Linked DNA regions of Neodiprion lecontei. The protein of the gene in region 2 interacts with the protein of the main gene of each other region in a biochemical or structural test. Links are inferred from orthologs where the notes say so. Each region holds a gene or a part of one and is shown on either strand. Other genes may lie near its edges.

The links.
Region 1: the proteins of asparagine synthetase domain-containing protein CG17486 (region 2) and beta-1-syntrophin interact in a test that uses a peptide from one of them, tested with the Homo sapiens proteins (2 studies listed by IntAct, with this or other methods). The link is inferred for Neodiprion lecontei from reciprocal best matches to the Homo sapiens genes ASNSD1 and SNTB1.

What each region holds. Positions count from the first base shown.
Region 1 is NC_060263.1:19,318,322-19,328,574, reverse strand, and holds the start of beta-1-syntrophin, read left to right. Parts: upstream 1-4,221; 5' UTR 4,222-4,558; coding exon 4,559-4,660; intron 4,661-8,142; coding exon 8,143-8,689; intron 8,690-10,253. UniProt on the Homo sapiens protein: Adapter protein that binds to and probably organizes the subcellular localization of a variety of membrane proteins. May link various receptors to the actin cytoskeleton and the dystrophin glycoprotein complex.
Region 2 is NC_060261.1:24,798,875-24,809,594, forward strand, and holds the start of asparagine synthetase domain-containing protein CG17486, read left to right. Parts: upstream 1-4,323; 5' UTR 4,324-4,531; coding exon 4,532-4,612; intron 4,613-5,106; exon of another isoform or gene 5,107-6,236; intron 6,237-6,392; exon of another isoform or gene 6,393-6,698; intron 6,699-7,041; coding exon 7,042-7,248; intron 7,249-8,504; coding exon 8,505-9,416; intron 9,417-10,720.

The DNA of each region.
Region 1 (10,253 bases), on a different chromosome or scaffold from region 2:
TAATTTATTCCTTAGTCGAGAGGTGTGTTCATGAAATTCCGCGACAATTGGATCTGGGGAAATTTTTCAATTTTTATCCCCCCGAACTGTCGTTCCGATTTCTACTACACGAAAAACATTTACTTCTTCTTGTTTGTTATTTTATTCACCTGTGCGATAAAATATAGTTCTTAAATAACTGTGTTGCTATATTGTATCAAGCTTCAACTCGAAGGAAGAAGAAATAAAATGAACGAAATATCAATGCGAAAGAAAAATCGCAGATAATTGAAAGCCCGTTCGAAGTTAATCCTCTTGACCTGGTTTTCCCGACCTACTATAATAACATCGTCAACGTCCCAAACACTTGTAGCTATTATAGCCCGAGAAAGTCTCACGATTCTAGAGTTCCTGTGCAATACACTATTTCGTTTCCATCTATTCCTCTTATATTTTCTTCCGACAATATTGTTTTACACTTATTTTTTACCCCCTGATATGAAAACCAATCCGCTTTGCAGGTCGTGATAATATTTTTTTTTAATTTCAATTTCTTGTATATACGTATAGGTATAGTAGTTCAAAGATATTGATTGTACAGATAGAAATGTAACAGCATTAGGAGTACGTATATACATGATGTATGTGCGCGAAAATATATACAGTTATACATGCATGTACAACTCACGTGGGTTACTCTTATCGCTTGTAATCTTCTTTAATTCATATCTTAAACCAAAAAAAAAAAAAAAAAAAATAGAGGGGGAAAGTGAGAGTTAGACAGAAAAAAAAAAAATAGAAAACATGCTTGCCGTTTTCCCGCCGTATTTTAAAGGATGCGGATCGCAGGTGATGGAGCACAAGCGGATTATTCCCTCGCCGACTCATTTGTTAATTACGCCTGACGGTAAATGAGCGTTGCTCGTTTTATGACCAGTTTACCACCCTCTCGTGTTATAATCTTTTTATATATTACGTATATGGGGTATTCCGCGCCAACTCAATAAACGATTGACCGTCAAATTTTTCAATATCGTGAAGAATTTTTTCTATCTTAATACGACGCCTGAACATCTTCCAAAGAAATTTACATTTCGAATGATCGTTGTTCGAAAGTATTTTTATAAAATACTTTCAACTGTTTATAAATGTTGAACGAAAAATTTGATCGCAAAACTTAAAAAATTGAAATTACTATCAATGAAATGCATTTTGTTAGTAAAAATAGTTGAATAATTTTGTTTGACAGCGTTTTTGTACTGCGTGTGATCGAATATTGGATCGTAAATTATTAAAAAGCCGAATTTCAATTAAATCTTTGAGGGTACACTTGAGGGGATATTGTGCTGCTAATTGGAATTTTCCTGGAATTGAATAGTACATCTCTATAATTCGGGGAACTAGCGATTGATTAAGCCCAAAATAATTTATACATGTATATGCAAGCTTGTGTTCCGTTTCCGGAAGAAATGAATCACGAATTCCCGTTCTCAGGTTCAAACTTAATCCGAAGCGTCTATTCAGCAGTAATTAAGCTTGGGCTCCAGAGACTATAAGAACACATAATAAAATTACACAGGGGCGCGCTCTGAGTAGCGAAGTTTGCATTTTTTTCTTATAATGGATCGGAGCGTCGATCTTGAGCAAAGAGAGAAAAATAAATAGAGAAAGAATAAAAAAGGAAAAAACAAAAAAAGAGAGAAATTTCTAGATTGCAGCTGACAATGGGCAGGCAACGGCGAATAAAGTATATAGGAAGAAAAATTACGTTATATCCGCATCACTTTAACCCGTAAGACTGCCGGCTTTATGTACACGATCGATCATTTCTGGCTGTCACACTTGACGAGCCATTACTCAAAATTTTATCCTGCAGCCTGTTACTCCTAATAATAATATTATTCTTTCACGGTTCATTACGCCGAGCATGTACAGCGTTTTTTCTTTTATTACTTTATTTTTCCGCTCTCCGCTCTTAACTCGTTTTTTCCTCACCGCAGGCAAACGGACTGTCCATAAGTGTATCTTGTCGCATATCAACAGGAGCGTCGCCGGTTCAAGGGTATTGCTGCCACACTGCACAAAACAACTTGGGAATTATATTTTGGATTTTTCCAGGATTACGTTCCTGGGAGATTTGTCGGAGTGTCAGTGAAGGGAGAAAGTCGTGTTTTATACATTCGTTCGGTTTAGAATTTCACAAAATCCGCTCTAATTTTGGAAAATCATAGTCTTTGCCACTCTGCTTGTGTAGTATTTGAGAAAAGTGGTAAAAAATTGATGCGAAAAGAAAAAAAGCATAGTGAAACACGGTACCCAGATATCAATAGCGTATAATCTCAAAGTATAGAGTGAAAATTTGACATAAGTACACTCGATCTTTTGATTAATTTTCTGAATTTCTTTCAGCGACGACACTGAAGTACAATTGTAAACAATCCACTTTCCCGAAGTTTGAAACGATTATTTCGTAACTCTATAAAAGAGAAGTAAACTGTAAAATACGAGTTGCGCAGCTTGAAGTTAGCCCCAGGTGCCGTAATCGCTAGTTCAGTGGCACTTTCGAACACATTGCAAAAAGGTCGATAGCCGTATTTCGGATTTTTTTCAGGACAGCTGCCTTCACGACAAATTTCCGTATCGTACAAATCAGAAAATCGTATTACAAACTCTTCTTATTTCTGATCAATAATAAATTGATTTAAAATTTTGTTAAATCGTAACCCGTCATCTTGCCTAATCGGTAATCGAGAATCTGATGTATGTAAGTATATCAATCGCTTCATCGAATTTTCCGAACTCCTTGGCCGACTACTAATTGAAAATGATATAATTTCGCTAAGTTTGGAACGATCTCGTTTCTCCGTGCATTAGAAAACTGTAAACTACGAATTACACGTCTTGATTAAATCCGTGACTGTGAGCAGTCGCATTCCTATCACCTCCGGTGTAAAAACCCTGGTGTGGAATTTTGGGGGCGGGAAGTTCGAAAAAGCCGTTAGGTCGAGTCGATAGCGAGCGGCAAAGGAGGGGGGACGTCGAAAGGTGGAAGGTGTCGAGAGGGAGGGGGGTGCGAGAGAGACAGCGCGGCGCAACAAGTGCGGATACGATCCGCGAGGGTCGCTGGCGTCGAGGGTCGCCGGTATTCGGCGTCGGGTTCACCGGCGGGTAACGAGCGATTCGAACGCCGGTAGCTCGTGCCGCCCTCGAGATTCCGGCTCAGTCTGGCGCTGATCGCGTCGGTGAAACGTGTTCGGTTGTCATTCGTTTGGGCGGCGATTTTGCGTCGCGGTTACTTTAAACGCGTTGAGCGATGCTCGAGTGGAATTCTCCCGTGTAGTGAGTAAACCGGCCTCTCAGAATCGCCCGAACTCGTCCGAGGCGTGTTGTAAACTGGGATTAGGAACGGATCGGCGCGGCCGAGTGGCAAGTGGTAAACAACGCGAAGTCGGCGACGAGTGAAAGTCGGCGATTAACAGCGCCGAGTGTGTTTATTTTTTTTTTTTCTTGTGAAAAAGGCCTGTGAGTGTGTGTGTGTGCAAGTTCGTGAAGTGCTTCGGACGGTGTGTGAGAAACTTAAAGCCCGCCAAAACCAGGGATATCGGGGAATTTCGAACGGTCGGCGATGCTCAGTTGTCGGGCTGCCGGGTTCGGACGCCTTGAAGTTAGCCCCTGATCGTCGATTGTTTTGTAACAAACACGTTGATCGTTGATAGCCGGACGCGTACCGAGCTCTCCGTTATTATCGGCAATTCTTATCGTCACAGTTTTGGTTAAAGGTGGAAAGGAAACTACGGGGAACTGAGATAAACGAAGCTAGAAGCTAGAAGCTAGAAGTCGAAAACAAGATAGACGGATGGTGAATAAGTAAACAGGTGAAAAACGCGTTCGCGTTCTTTTATTTTTCTCAATCTATTTTCTCGCTCGCCTTTCTTTTCCAAGTTTTATATCTGCAAAATTACTGTTAATTGATTGATTCCTAAGAACGAATCGGTGCGTCGCCATCCTTCAAAGTTTATCATTGTAGTAGAAATAATTCGTAGCGTGCGGTGGCGCATTTTAGCCTCGAAAGAATAATAGTAATTGCGGGTCATTGCGGAGTGAATCTAAGACGAGGATTGATTCGTTATTCTGCTTGAAATGTGCAATTGAGTAACTCTCACAATATTTATAAATAAATTATTGCGAGACTCCGGACACGGATATTCGGCGTAATAATTATTGTGTCTGCGGTAGCCGGAATCCGACGACTGGAGTTTGTTATTACCGAAATGTCGCTGACACTGCACTTTGCCTCAATTTCCTGTGAAAGAAGAAGAAAAGAAATCAACAACATAGATCGTAACGATAAAAATAGCAATAATAATAATAATAACAACAACAACAAGGGTAATCGTGGCAAGTGAATGAAGAATTATCGTTAATTCTTGTTCGCCTCTTGTAGTCATGGATTAGCAGTAATCAGTTTTTTCTCTCAGCCTCGAATTTCGTAATACCCCGTGTACTTGATTGAAGAGTGGTGACGTAGAATCAGAGAACCGGCGGGTTTTTCGAAAAATTGGACAAAAACTATGCACGAATGATTGAACAACAGAAGGGAGAAAGAGAACATTTTTACGAAAATTCAAATAGGCTAATCGACAAGAACGTCATATATATGCCAATACACGCCCATAAATCGGTAATATATAATAATTAACAAAATATCACTATTCACGTATAATCAATATCGTATTACATTGCAGATTAGTGAGAAAGGGTTATAAATTTGCGAAAGATTAGACAACGAGGAGGAAAAAAAAGAGTGAAAAAGCAAAAAAACCTTACACGAATACCAACACTTTGAACTACACGTACATTAAACACGTTATTTTTATTATATCACACGCATCGTTACATAGTTGTGTCCTTGATTAAGTTTGCCCGGTTGCATAACGAATCGATCTCAGTAACTTACGTTGGTAATAACGTTGCCTTTTTTTCTTGTACGAGGTAATTGAGTTATTATTATTTATCATTATTATTATTATTATTGTCGTTGTTGTTATTATTGTTGTTGTAACATTTATTCTTATTTCATTCTAATTGTCGGTGATAGGATTTTTTTATCTCCACTTTTCTTTCTTTTTTCACGTATATTTTATGTCGATACGTATTATATTTCATTATATATTGTGTATGCCTTACGTTCACCTTTCGTTTTAGCTGCAGTTTCATATACGTTTTTCACGCAATGTATGTATGTACCTATTATACGTACACGCGTATATATATATATATCTAGTTGAAATCCGGTGAATTACATAACTCGAGTTAATTTACCAGAACTTTATTCTTGTTTGTGAAATATCCTGCTCTTTTATATTGCGAATTAACGATCGGTTCAATTCAGCGTTAAACAGCAGCATGCTGATTGTATGATGTATAAATTTTGTAACTAATTGCTGAATTCAGTGTTTCCAAGTAGCAAATAATTGTTGACGACTCAATTTCAATGGCAAACACATCGCCACCGTTGTACGAAATATAACCGGAAAAGTTTTAATTATACCTGCGAGGCACACACACGTGTACAATATACCTGTGTATATAGGTGTGTTAGATAGTTGTCACGCAGGAATTTAAGGGGACTCCGGTATAATATAATGAGAGTGTTAACTTTGACAAATGAGGGGGAAGATTATGTACGGAGGTTCGTTAGTTTTCTAATTAGACTCTTTTATCTTATAAATAGTTCGGTTACTTTTTTGTATTTTTATTCTTATTCTCCGTTTGTTTGTTTTTTCAAACTGACGGAAAAATAGAATTCTTCTTACTGTCAGCTGTTGTTAGTCAATTTAAAAAGCTCATATGAAAATCTGTCGCAATAAATCGGGTTCCGGTTTTTTTCAATATATTATTGTACAAGATGTACAAGAAATCGCCGAAAACTGTATGATTATTTATGTATCATCCTCTGACATTTGTCTGAAAAATAGTTTTTTTCGCTGAATAACTGTACACCCTGTACGTATGTAATTCTCCTAACATTCGTGAAGTTAGCAATTGTACAACTATTATACTTTATATACAGTTATTTGCACTAAATGATTCTATCCGCGTTCTAATTCGTTCAATTATATCTCGTTTGTTCTCTTTCGTCCCACGTTTTTTTCTATTTTCCTTCTGCTTCTTTTTTTTTTTGCCTCTTCTCTTCTCTTAATTCTCTCACGCTTATTTCGTCGCAAGATTTACGCGGGGATTTTTGGATTTTTGTTTTTCTTCCACGTTGGTTTTATTTTCTTTCTTTTATCCTATGCGCAGTATGTACAATTGTACACGTATATACGTATCGAGGGTGAAGTTTTCTGCAAGCAGTGACGCAGCATCATCAGGCAACAGAAGCCAGCAGCGCACGTGGCGGGCAGCAGCGTTCGTTCAATTCGTTCGAAAACTCGTTGGTCGGTTCGTTACCTCCTTGGGAAACTCTCATCCCCTCTCTTACATTTTTCTTTCTCTCGTGTATTCATGTATATGTATACGGGGCATTCCATGACATGTCGATCAAGATTCTACTTCGATGCCTCAGATTGGCTTTATAATTTTTTTCTATGGAAGTACACGACGAAAAACGCGATCGCAATTTTTTTCAGAATTTTTCGACCCAGCGTATCTGAAGTATAATTTAAAAACTTGAAAAACAAACTTAACTATCGAAAATCTGAACAAATTCATAAAAAATCCGGAAAATATCTACTCGGAGAGATATTATAATGAGCTTGTACGTCAATTCTTGTGTCGAAAATGCAATGTAATAGCAGTATTTTTTTTTTCATTTTTATTATTCATTTCTCGACGTTATGAAATCTCCAACTTTTAATAGGTGTCAAAAATTTTGTTACATTTTACAAGATTTTTCAGATTTTAGAAAGTGGGGTTTCTGCTTTTTCAAATTTTTAAATCATAATTCAGATACGCTGGGTCGGAAATTCTAAAAAAAAAATTACAATCGCGTTTTTCGTCGTGTACTTTTATACGAAAAAACTATAAAGTCAATCTGAGACATCGACGTAGAATCTTGATCGAGATGTCACGGAATGCCCCATATACCTACACACCAATCTCTTGTCTTTTCTTTTCTCTCCACTTCCTTTTTCGTTTTTCGCATTTACTTCAATACACCTATACCTTTCTATCTCGTTGCCGTCAATATTTTTCACTACTTTTATCATAATTTTTTTAAATCGTGCCTTTTATATTCATGAACTTTCACCTATACCTTTATATAAACCGAACATCTGACCTTAAATTCTTATAATTGCATTCGCAAGTAAAGTTTACGCTATATATAAGATGCTTATTCTGTGTGGAGTCGTTAAAATTGTTTTTCCGGTTCGTGATTTTTTAAAATAATTTTTATATATTTTTAATAATTATCACGTATGCTTTTTTAACCTCAAAAGATACAAAAATTAACACACAAGTTATACACTAAACATACAAATTGGAATATCGAATACGAATCGTATTACATGTACCTACGTGTATAAATAATATTCTGTGTATCTATTATCCAGTTCACCAAAAGAATTGATACGAAGCATAATAATCTACCGAAGGCAATTTATTCAAATATTTCGTAAATAGATTCGTCGATCGGTGTAGATAATGCAATATATAGCTGCGGTTTGAAATCTTTACGGTACGAAATTGCAGGGCGTATTGACCGTGGGCGCAATTTTATATCCTCGATTGTTTTCTGTTTTCGATACGGTTTTTCACAGCGGCATGAGAACCACTGCACGAGCTGCAACGTCGTGGATAAATCGAGATGTATCTAACCTCAAATGTCGATGACACGCGGTGGTTCTCTCAGTACTGTAAAACCACACCGAAAAAAACAATTGAGGGTATAACTTTTTTCCCACGAGCAATACCAACGCCCTAAAATTTCTCATACCGTTTAAATTGACCCTGTTCATAATTCGTCACAATTTCGATCAGCAAAAAAAGTACAGTATCTTTATTTGAAAAAATTGAAACTCATGTACCGGAAAGGTAAAAAACGAGAATCACAATTTCGAAGATTTAACACGACAGTTAGATCGACAATGAGCAGCATAACCCTTTTTTGCGTTTTTACCGACGGTCGGTAATGCGTTGAATCTTTTTTTTCGTGTTTAGCGGGTCCAGCAGACATTCGAGGAAATCGAAATGGTTGAGTTGAACAGCGCGGGAAGCGGCGGGGGCGGTCAGGGGGTTGTGACCGGAAGTTCGGGCGTCGGTGCGGGGGTGGGAAGAGCGGGGGTGATGGAGACGCAGGTGCGGGGTCAGTGGTACAGAGTGTTCGTGTCGTTGGAGGACGATTACCTGAGTATAACGCTCGACGAGAGCTGCGAGAACGCGAGTTCCCTCAATGGCAACATAAACAACAACAACATAGACAGTCTGAACGATCCCGACGTACCGGACAGCGTTGCTAACCAGAAACGCGTCGTACGCGTCGTAAAGAGCGACAACAACGGGCTCGGCATATCGATAAAGGGCGGCAAGGAGAACAAGATGCCCATTCTTATATCGAAGATATTCAAGGGCATGGCCGCGGACGCCACCGAGCAACTCTACGTCGGCGACGCCATACTCGCCGTCAACGGCGAGGACCTCAGGGAAGCGACTCACGACGAGGCCGTCAAAGCTCTGAAGCGCGCCGGAAAGGTCGTCGAGCTTGAAGGTGAGCGGAAGTCACGTTTTCGCCTTTCGAGGTTGGAGTTGGTTACGTTGACGTAACGAAAATAAAACTTTTCCGAATACTTGTGCTTGTTTGTTAGGGTGAGCCAAAAAAAAAAAAAAACTAACCTATCGAACTTGTGGTCTTGAAAGGAACCCGTTTATTGAGAAGAAACAATTGTACCGTTGGGGAAAATTTTTTTTGCTCAATTTTGGAAGGTGTCGCTGACCATTTGAAATTTTACGTTTGAATTACGCGCGAGAAAATTTTGCTTCGTTAAAAATTCTATGACCTTTGAACCGTTTGAGATGGAATAATTTTTCACGCATATTCTTGCAGGGCATTAAATTCTCTCAACAAGGAACCCGGAGTTGATTTTTTATACTCAATAATTCGTAGCCGTGAAAGTCGAAGAAAAGCGGAACTTTTTTTTTCAAAATAACTCCATTGAAATAAGTATTTTTATATCTTTCAAACGGGTAATCTAGTAAATTCACGCTTACTTCGTTGGTACGAAGATGCACACTTTTAGGATGTGCGTGACAGTCTCAGAAATAAATGTCTGTAATTCCTTCAGAACTGTTGTTTCGAAATTCTTAGGCACCGTAAAAAATCCAAGAAATATTAAGCAACTGTAAAAACTTTGGGTGTAATATGAGATTCCAAGTTCACTTTATATTAGGATTGCGTTAGTTTTTATATTATTGTAGTATTATAGGAGAGGGGGGGGGGGGGGGGGGGGGGGGGGATTCTAAACTTTACGTTCTCAAACACCAAAATTCACAGAAAAACTCAGGGTAGCAAAAAATTTTTTTTTCCTATTATTAGCTATTTGGGCAGTATTTTTTTTCTGATCAACCTTAGATATTAAATAAAAAATGAATTTTTCATCTAAATATTGCTTTTTTAAGTCATACATAAAAATGTTGATGAAATAAATAACTAGAACCAGTTTCAAATAACTCCGTTTATTCCTAGGGTAGTTGACATCAAATCTTACTAATAATAAGGCTGTTCAAATATCAAAGGCAACAAAACCACCGTTGACCGGTGTAATCGAAGCTTTAGATATAGGTGGTTTTATTTCGTTCAACCTGTAGTTTGCACACATTTTCCATTTAAACACAGTTTCAGCTAAATCTGCTGATGAATGTGACGCGGTGTATATCATATGAATATCGTTTTATATTACATTCAGGATTACTCTCACGAATATTAACGCTCCGGTAAAAGAACTTTGGGGGAAAAAAACGCAGACCTGTGTAATCATTGTTTCGCTATTCCATTGCCACTACGACACGGAAGTGTGCTTGATTGATTTTTTTTTCTTCATACCAATGTAAGTAACGTTACGAATCGCCAGGAACAAATAAATATTGCGCAGTTTTGGAGGGAATTTGATGGATAAAAGTTGAATTTTTCAAAATATAAGTATCTATATTGTTTTACTCTTTCACACTGTTTACTCAGATTTGGAAAATTCTCGTTTTGTAAAATATCGGCTTCATCTTTACGAATATGCGTCGTTAGGATAACGTTGCTAACTTCAACCTTATTTTTCATTTGT
Region 2 (10,720 bases):
GCGGGTAAGGCGGTTGCGCCTGTACTTGCAACGGGTTCGCTCACCATTTTAAATTCCTGAGGAATCTTAATATGTGTTTGGGATTGGTTTTCCGAATCAGGCGTTTGAATAAGTATTTGAGTGGGTTTTTCTGTTTTTCTCGAGTTCTCCGGAGAATTTTTATTCGTTGGATTAGAATTTTCGTTGGAGATTTGTGACTGTTTGGGAGTGAGACTTGAGTTTCCCGACGCGTTCGTCTCCTCTAAATTTTCTAATTGCCCTTCAAATAATTGGGTGCCCTGCGTACTAACTTGTGATCTAAGTCGTCGGTCTGAAGGCGGAGTATGTACTACGGCTGAGCGTTTTTATCGACAGGAGGGTCTTCCTTTCCCATTTAATGTTGGGATTGCACAATCGGATTTATTTGCTTATAACTGGGTTGGAAGTGGGGATTAATTGTTCGGGATTCGTATAATAGCGACAATTCCGGGGACTGCTGAGACGAAAGAGAGACAGGACAGGTTTGATAGCGGGGAGCTTGAGAGTAATAAAAAAAAAATATTTCTGACTCGTTTTTATGAATATGGATAACGAGTTGGGGTGCTGTGATGTTCTGAACAACTCTCCTTATTTTATGGGTTCCCGATCAATAACCGATGCGTATGTGATGACTGAATTTGAATTTTTGTTAATAAGGTTTATTTTAACTTTTAGATTCCGTGTCGGAGGAAAAGGAGGTGGAAATCGTTGGAAGTTTGAACGTGAGGTATTCAGAAATAATTTTTGCCTTTTTCCTAATCTTTGCGTCTTCTTCGCTAATCGTTCTGGGTCGCGTTGGGGGCTCGAACAGCTTATTTCTTTCTTTTATTCGTTCTTCTGTATCTCCCGTGTAATAGCAAATATCTTCAGAAGTTCCGATGGTATGGTTAGAATTCAGCGGTTTATTGAGATATCAGACCTTTACAGAGTCCGGGATTTCGTGCGGATCGTTTAATATAATCGGCTGAGTATATTGTTCCTAAAGCTTTGCTATGGTTCCGCGTTTCCTTCCGTTTATTTCGTTCGATTTTGGGAGCATTCGTTATGAGAACAAAGGGTATTTGTCAGAGGTTTCGATTAAAGGTTGGAATCTTGGTTCGACAGAGTATTTCGATGAAAACAAGGGATCTCAGTGACACGAGATCCCAGTAGGTGCGATATTGAAGAAATATTTGAATGGAAAATTTCCAGAGCGGATGGAAAAATTCTTGACTGACTCATTGATTTTTAGAATTTTGGCGAGTTAACGGGTATTAAAATTCAGGTTTGTTGAGTTATTTTATTAAATCGAGCGAGATTAGGATGATTTTCAGTTCGTGTCGGTAGCGCGCAAAACTTCCGCCGTCCGTCGGTCGCTACTCGCGTCACAAAAAGTTTTTCGCGATTATAACGTTTGGTTTCCCGGCCGATGCACCAAAAAAAAATTTTATATGTGACGTCGGAACGGTACCTGGTGGAAATTTCCAGATGTTAGACACCGGAATCATTCACACAGCCACAGTTAGACTCACATCAGTAGTTTGGGTCACCAATTACCGATAAAGTATTGAAATACACCGGACAACGGGCATTCTGTCGCTCTAATCGAACGAACCGAGGAAGGAGTAATTATTGGATAAAAAATTTAATTAATTGGCTTACCTCTTGAGAATACTCTGGATATGATGACTTACAGCGTAGATTGGTGAGAGGATTTAACGGAATAACTGATTCTAATATATTTGGATACTTTGATTAACTTGGATTTATTTTACAAGTTCAATATTTCAAGTCACAAAAACGGAGTTACTTAGTGTAAGATCTTAAATTAATATGACAAAATGGAGCTGAAAGCTCGCTGGACTTTTGGGCAGAGTAACGTTGTATGAAAAGTTTAAATGCAAAAGGCAAAAGGATTTTACCGCGAGACTGTACCGGAACAAGATGACGAATCTGGTGGTAGAAACCAAGAAGACGATCGGGTGATCGGTGGCCGTTTTTATAGGGGTCGATCGTTGCGCAGAACGATCCCCTTCTTTAGATTTTGTCACCTTTTGCGCACCTTCCCCTTTCTCTAGGAATTCTAATTAGGACACGATCTCCTCGCCGCATGCACGCCTGTGATCTTAGTTCATTAGCTATTACTATATTGCAAGTTTTTACATATGGTATAACGCTGCACTGGTGCGGTGATGTAGGTGCGGGGTCGTTGTTCTGTAATTTTCCATTCTGCGTGGGCTTTGTTGTTGGGGCGCAAGCCCCCCTTGGCCCCTCGGCTACTGTGCTTCTTCCCCCGTCTTGTGCTATTGGCAGCTATTTCCTAATATAGTAATCGCAGTGCGTATGCGCTAGTGGTGACTCATGTTTTATGTTAGTGCCGTGTGCATTTTCAGGGTCACGATGCGCTTAATTCTAGTTCCTGTTTACTTCTTAATATTTTTACTATCTTGCTCGTTACAAAGTCCATATGTCATATTGGTCACTCGTCGTTTGTTAGTTTTATAGCGTGTATCTATATAAAATTACATATGTATTATAATTGATTACTGTCGGTATTCACCTGGAGTACAATAGCGATTTTTTATGAGACATAGTTGCTATTTGCTTAACATTATTAAAATCGCGCTGCTGCGAATATTCTTAGGTGTTTGTGTTATAATTATCTTAACAGATTTAGGGTATTTAACAATTTGATAATCCATAATTTTAGAGCAGGTTTACATGTGTGCTTTCGTATATAATTCTCTTCTGTAATTATTAATTCTTATATTGATATAAATCGGCTTGGAAGCTTCTAGAACGTTTTTCTTATGTTTGTTGGTTGCCTGTCATTGGGCGTTGCCACGTATGCATCTTTGAGTTTATTACGAGTTGATTTACCTTCAATCGTTTCGTCGGTAAGTTTCCTAATGTGTTCTCTAGATGAAGCTCTGTATGGCTCCACATTGGAGATCTGCATTGCCTTCAAAACGTTGCTCGTGTTGCCTTCAATACGGCGTTACGGAGGAAGGTATAGTTCATGCTGGATAATTAGTATTCACGGTTTTGAAGGTTTTGCAGTCTCTGGTTTTATGGGTTATTGCAGCAGTGCTATCTTTACATTATATTGGTTATATATTTATCTATGGTTTTACAGTTTTCTATACTCCAGGCTATATGGTATGGCGTAAGTTGCTTATAGTTGGTATGTTCCGATATACACTGCGAGCACTGTAAGGTGTGTCGTCAATTTAGTATACTGCCAAGCCGTTCCTGTATAGTTAGCTATACTGGTTACTGCTTAAAACGGAACGCAGTACAGTATACTGTGATCGACATTTTTTGGCGTTAATTTCATTTCATACATAATATTTGTTTCACATTGCAATAAACACAATTTATTCAAATTTTCCATTTTTGTTTTTAACGGCCGATATTTTTAAATGACAATATTCAATAATAATAATTATCAATAGTGGAAGCTGTTCAATTTCTGAACGCTGTTGATCACGTGATCAAAGCACTGAGAGCACCTTACCTCGAAAGCACCAGTGTTCACAGTAGAAAAATGGCGACGATTTATGACGTCATATATTTCCCTAGGATGCTGCGACTGTATACTGTCCGTCTATAACGGAACGAATTTCTCCCCAGTAAGAGCACTGAACAGTGCTCGCAGTGTATATCGAAACATACCCAGTATAGCTCTCAGCTCCGAATGCACAAATGGCATTGTCGAGTGCTATATAATAATTGGATATAATCGTGTTAGTTAATTATGGTGTTAATATGATAGTGATATATAATAACGTATAATAATATTATATCTCTTTGTAGTGCGAAGATCTCGTAACATGGTTTTTAAGCTTTGGTTAGTGAATGTCATAGTTATTTCCATCTAGGGATATTCCAAATAGTTAGTCAGTTGTTTTAATTCCTTATGGTTACAAGATTCTCGTACTTCGAGTTTGGTTAGTTGATAAAAGTAAGATGCAGTAATAATAGTCGATAAAACATACGGATGTTCCGGTCGGATGTTACAGGTCTATGCGTACTAGGGCCTTGTTCGTAAATTGACTGAGAGTACTCAAAATTCCCTAGGACAGAGTCAGAGCTATCCACGAACTTGGAAGCGCAAAAGAGATAAAAGATTGCTGACAGTACTGTCAGTCAATTTTCGAACACGGCCTAAGTAGGCCTCTCCTTCACTAGCGCTAGCGGCGAAAATTCACAACATTGGCTTCATTTTCGAGCACGTTTTTATAGTCGGAGTTCCCAGACCTGTCTATTAAGACCGTGCTTATAACCAAAGAGTATAGGGAGTATAGTAACGTAGCAAGCAGCCAATGAGAGCGTTTTGCTGTTGCCACATCCCAGCTGTTTGCTGCACGTGAGAAAACAGCTTAAAGCATTAGAGCATATACTGTGTATGTATATATGCTCTAAGATACCGCCACGGCGATAGAAGAGACGCTGATTACCCTAGTTTGTAACGCGATTTGCGGTTCGGTTCAAGCGTGTAGTTAGGTTAGTGTTAGGTGAACTTGACAGACCAATGTGTGGAATATATTGTTCGGTGTCTCGTAGAGACCAGAATGATGTTTCAAAGGCAGGAATTGACTCGAAAAGCACTGAGGTATTTGTTTTTTCACGTCTTCACGCCACGCAAATTCATTTCCAACAAATTTTACCACTACTTACCTCCCAGTATTTGCCGAAGGCACATGACAACGTACACACGATAGTTTGAATTTTTGAATCGGGCATCTAGAAACTTTCAAATTCCACATAAGAGAGAGAAACTAACGAATCTGTTTAATCGAATTGCTGGTCATAAAAAAAACCCATGATCGGATATACACATGTAAAATCTACAGAGCTGATGGAAATAAAGCTTATTGTCAGTAGCCAAACATGCTAAACTTTCTTTAAGCAAGACGAAGCGAATTTGTTTTTCATTTGTCATTCTATCAAAGTTTTAATTTTATATGAGTTTTCACCAAATTGTAACCATTGTACTTCATCGTGTTGTTTTAAATAATATCTAGCTAGGTTTAGCATTACACTTGGCGGGGGGCTTTGGTAACACAACAAATGTTAGCCAATTAATTTTATTCACTGTAATATATAAAACTACTCAGAATTACATGGCTACCAATGTATTCCACATAGAAATCTGTGACCGAAACTGATAGGAGATTTGTTATTTGCTCATTACAGTTATTGAAAAATTGGTTAATCTGACAGCATCTGTAGGTTGTGAACAGAGCTGGCGGATCGACATGCACTTGGCAGTTGTCCTGCTACAGCTATCTTATAGGGCGTTAGCCAGAGTCACGCCGTATATTAACATATTTTAAGGAATATTCATGATCTTATTCAAATGTTACTTTCTACATTTAACCCTGTGTGGTCTCAATGTAATTTAGCTATTTCCGCAGTCACACTGGGTGCGCCGTCCATGTACAGTTGTCAACGTGTTAAATTGCTTAAGAACTTCTAAAAAAATACATGAATACTCTTGAATCTTTCTAAAATCGAACCCATAATTATTTGAGTACAAAAGTTATTGTATCTTATATTATGCATTAGTATCTGAACGAAAACGCCAGAAAACCATGTTTTGGCCTCAATTTCAAGAAGTAAAAAATGTGCTATACTGAACAACAAATTACCATGGATTGTTGTCATGGACACCCTAATGTTCAAGAATAATTGAGTTTGGATCGTTTCTGCCCCAAACTATAATTATTGGATAGCTTGGAAATGCACAATTTCAAAGAGATGCAAATTAATGATTTTTATGAAAAATAAATCGAACAACATTTTTTATTGCAAAAATAATATTATCTTTAAGCAAACACGAAATTAGAAATGAAAACTAACACTAAGTAAAAAAAAAATGAATTGCTCTTTTGGAAAAGAATGCTTATACCTGTTGTTTGGACATAAAGAAATCAGTCAATTAAGACATTGATTTACACATTTTAATGCACCATTAGAAGTCTTTTAAATAAAAAAAAGATCAAAAAGACTTTTAAATCCCAAGTTTTACTCAGACGGCGGTTGCACGGGGTCGTTTTTGTCCCCTCAAGTTTAAACCGCTGTAGCTCAAGAACAAATGGGTGGAGGACGGCCAGAACTTACCTGTACGAAGTTTTTTTGGAAATGGAAGCTGCGCCTTATTCCTTTTCGGTTTGTCGGGAATTCCCAAGTATAACTCTGCTTGGGACAAATTGACCTAGTGTGATTGCCCAGGAGTAATTGCAAACAATTTAATTTTGGTGAAATTGCACAAATATAAATATTTTTGGAATATTGAATAGTTTAATTAAATTTGAGTTTATTTTTGCAATGCAAAAACTCAAGTTAAACTAACTTAAAAATTAAAAAATTAAAATAATTAACCAGGAGGAGTGTTGAATACATGGTAGTACCGCTTTTCCAAGACAGAATGCAGATCATGAGATTTGTGCCTTATACTTACATTAATTATTTCACTCGGTGCCATGTTTTGCGGTATACACGGAATCTTAAAAATGGCTCAACCAATTTATTTCAACTTTGGAAACAGTGTAATTGGACAGTTTATCCTCAACATCACGACCTTTTTGTCTCGGTAGCATAATTGTGCCCATTTTAAGTTGAAATTCTATTTTTCAGCCAATATCTAACTTTTTTATTGCCTTAACAAAAAAAGAAAAAAGAAGACTAGTACAAAGGTGAGATCGTGGTAAAGTGAATAAGCTATTTGAAAATAGTTTCCTCAAATGTGAAATAAATTGGTTGTACTATTTTAGAAATATCGTAGATACTACAAAACATGTCTTGGAACGAAATAGTTGACGTTATTGTCGATAGCAATGCTACCTATCAATAGATTCCAATGAAAAACTCATTAAATCAAGCTTGATCTATATATTTTTGAATAAAAGACACCCGAATTAATTTGTATAATTGCTCGTGAATACTTGAATTCCCTAATTCACCCGCTTATTCACCCGTCTTCTCATTCATACCTCCTTATTGTGAGACAATTGGTATTATATAGAATAATTATTTCAGTGGACAAAGTGCAAAGGTGCAATGAATGCCAGAGGTCCTGATGGAACTTCGGAACTATTCCGAAGATTAGCCAAACAGTGGGACGGCCATTTTGCAGCGAGCATTTTATGGATGCAAGGAAGCAACCCTGTCATGCAGCCATGTACAGATTCTGATGTTAATGGTAATGTCCTACTGTGGAATGGAGATGTTTTTAATGGAAGTTTGGTGAGTGAACACATTAGCAAATCAAGAAGTTTTGTGAAAGTATGAAGCCTTTTGTTCTGAATTCTATTTCCACTGTTTCCATGACTGGAATATTTGCAGTAAAAAGAAACTGCAAAATTATTTGTCAATATCATATGTTGTTCCCGACACAGGATAAAGGGCATCATGCGTTTATAACTAGCCCACACTCTGTTCTTGAACAAGATTATTATACTAATGAACAATAAAAAAAAAAAATGCTATAACATCTCATATTTATTAAACTTGCTTATACTGAAACCTCCAAGTAGTTCTTCCTACCAAAGAGATTTGGTAATATTTTCTGTAACAATGTGTTGTACTTGTTTTCAAAATTTATTAACAATCAGCTGATGGCAATTAACCCTCTGAAGCATACATTTTTCCTTGCAGTCAAATTTCTTAAAGCTCGGTACATTAGGGTTCGCCACATTGCTGATTTCAAAAATGTGGTCAAATCTGACAAATTTTCAAAATTCAAAATGGTGGATCTAATATGAGTGAATAGGATCAATTTTTATGATTTCAGTCCGCCATCTTGAATTTTGCAATTCCGACATCGGATTCGTTTTCAGTGTCGCCAAAAACCCTCGAACTAACAAATTTCAAGCCAGCATGATCAATTTTTATCTTTTCCTAGACTGCCATATTGGATCCGCTATTCTGAATTTTCAAATTTTGATATCGGATTAACGAGTTCCACTTTGCTGGTTCCCACAGCCTTCCCACAACTACATTTATTCTGTAAAAACAAGCATTTTCAAAACTGTTTATTTATAGTGCTCATTGTATTCGTGGAATCATCATAACCCCTCTTAAAACATCAACATTGACATCTTAGAAGACAAATTAGGCAAAAAAAATGACAGTGATATCTCAAAAATTGAATATAAATCTTGAATAACCAATTCATAAAAGGTGTCTCATATGTAAGATGCTGTGCCACAAAGGGTTAAGTCGGGGAAAAACAAGAAATCACTCAAAATTGGACAACAACATTAGTCGCAAATTACTAACCTAGACAAAAATTCCAAAATTTTATCTTCACTGTTTCCTTAATTGTCCGAGATAATATGGTAACTTTCGGGGAATTGAATCATTTTAATCGCATATTATACTAGGTGAAGAAAATTTGGCAATGATGTATGCCAAGGTACACGTCTCAATGTGTTGCTCAGAACATTTTTTGTAAAATGTACCAAAATTATGTCACACAAAAAATCCATTCCTTTCTTTAGGCAAGCGATACAGAGTGTGATACAACGACACTGCTAAAAAGGTTCAGTTCTTCCCAAAATGTTGTCGCAACACTGTTGGAGGTCCAGGGACCTTATAGTTTTATATACTTCAATAAGTCAGACAATTGTTTGTACTTTGGGCGAGATTCGATCGGTAGACACAGTCTATTAATAAAATTGAACGAGGACAAGACTTTGCTGACATTGTGCTCTGTTGGGAATAAAAATGTGAAAAATATGACAGAGGTACCAGCAATTGGAATATTTGTAACAAACTTAAACTGTGAAGAGTTCAATTTGACTTGTTATCCATGGAAAGAACCAAATCTTAGGTTCACAGATATTATTGAAGATCTTGAGACAAGTTTGAACATGGATATTGATGTAAAAGAAACCATTGTCAAACCAGAAATTGATAATTCAATTCTATATCTCGATCCAGAGATCAAAGATGTCCAATATCTCAAAAACATTGATTACAATCAAAATTTCAGTCAAATAATGGAACAGCTATTAGAAAACAAGGAAGTATACCAAAGAGTGGAAAACATTTTAAGGTTTCTGAGAAGTTCTGTCGAAGTTAGAGTTAGAAAAAAACCTAACTACTGCAGGAATTGTATAAGCTTGTATCTGAATGGTGAAGAAGTAAACTGCAAGCATGCCAAAATTGGTATACTTTTCTCGGGTGGATTGGATTCTGCAATTTTAGCTGTTATCGCTAATCAATTTGTCCCAGAAAATGAAGAAATTGATTTAATTAACGTTGCTTTTGAGAAAATAAAGAATCCAAATTCAAATTGCACAAAGGAAGCTGCCACTATCAATTACGATGTACCTGACAGAAAAACAGGCAAACAAACTTTTACTGAACTTGAAAGGATTTGTCCTAATAGAAGGTGGAACTTTATACAGGTTTGTTAGTTAATTAGTAAAAGTATTTTAAAAGGTTACAGGACTCTTGAAAAACAAAGCGAAATGCCATATGTAACAAAAAATTACAAATTGATGAAATGAAGTACCGGACCTATCTAGTTTCGAATTGACATTCCGATGAGTAGGTGTATTTAGTCCAGTCAAATAGAACTTGAAAATGACAAAACGGATTAAAAAGCCAAATTTTTTAGGGCAAGTAGAGGGTCATCTGAGATGCCCAAAAACACCAAAATCCAACAAAATTTCCTTGTGCATCGGCCGCCATCTTGAACAACAGATAATCCTCGATATCTCGGCTCCCATTGGTCGGATTTTCGATTTTTTTTTAGTTTTTTAGAAAAAAATATTGTCTACAACTTTTATTGGAAGAATATTTTCATAGCGGTGAATGAAAACGTTTTACAATAAAAAAAAGTGCCATAAATTGATGTCTAATAATGTTTATTGTCAATTATATTGCCCCCTTTAGATGTTATCGATAAATTTTTCATATAAAAGTTGTAGGGGACTAAATTCTGAATAATTTATGTCTTTACGATTTTGCGATTACTCGAATATTACTTGAGATAGAGAGCGTCAAAGTTGTCTCTGTCCGCATTCTATCTGCAAAGCTTACGGACTAATTTGACTGGACTAATTACACAGTATCTATATTATTTTATCTGAGAGAATTGGATACATACAAAAGGTATGTTCGATTACTTGGTATTTATAGGAATAATTTAATTATGTCTATACTCGGCCAAAATCTGATCTTTGTGCTTACATTCAAATCAATTTAATTTACTAATCGCGTTAGTTATAACATCTCTTGCCTATTAACATTCAGAACACATCCTCCAATTTTATTTTGAATATCCGGAAGCCCAATTTCTAGTAAAAAATATAAAAAATGGAAGAAATGACATTTTTTTACAAAAATTTCTTGTATTGAAGTAAACAATTTTGTGAGGTTTTTTTTTCATTTTAATATTTCTAACGATGCAATTGAAATATGGTGATTGATTCTAAAGTGTTTGACGAATATCTGAGAATTTTTTCAAGTTGATCGGTTAAGTTGTTTTGAAATGGTGGACCGTGAAAGAGTGCAGAGAATCTTACAAACCCACAGTGTGCTCTGTGATAGAAAAAATAGTTGTGTGCTCTGAGGGTTAATGAAGATACTTCTTAAGATTTCAGTGCTTGACGAAATCCGTTACAATTACTCGTAATTTCATTGTGTATTGTACAGCTACCCCATAAGATATAAAATACGAATGGTTATTATTAGCTATCTTGTCAGA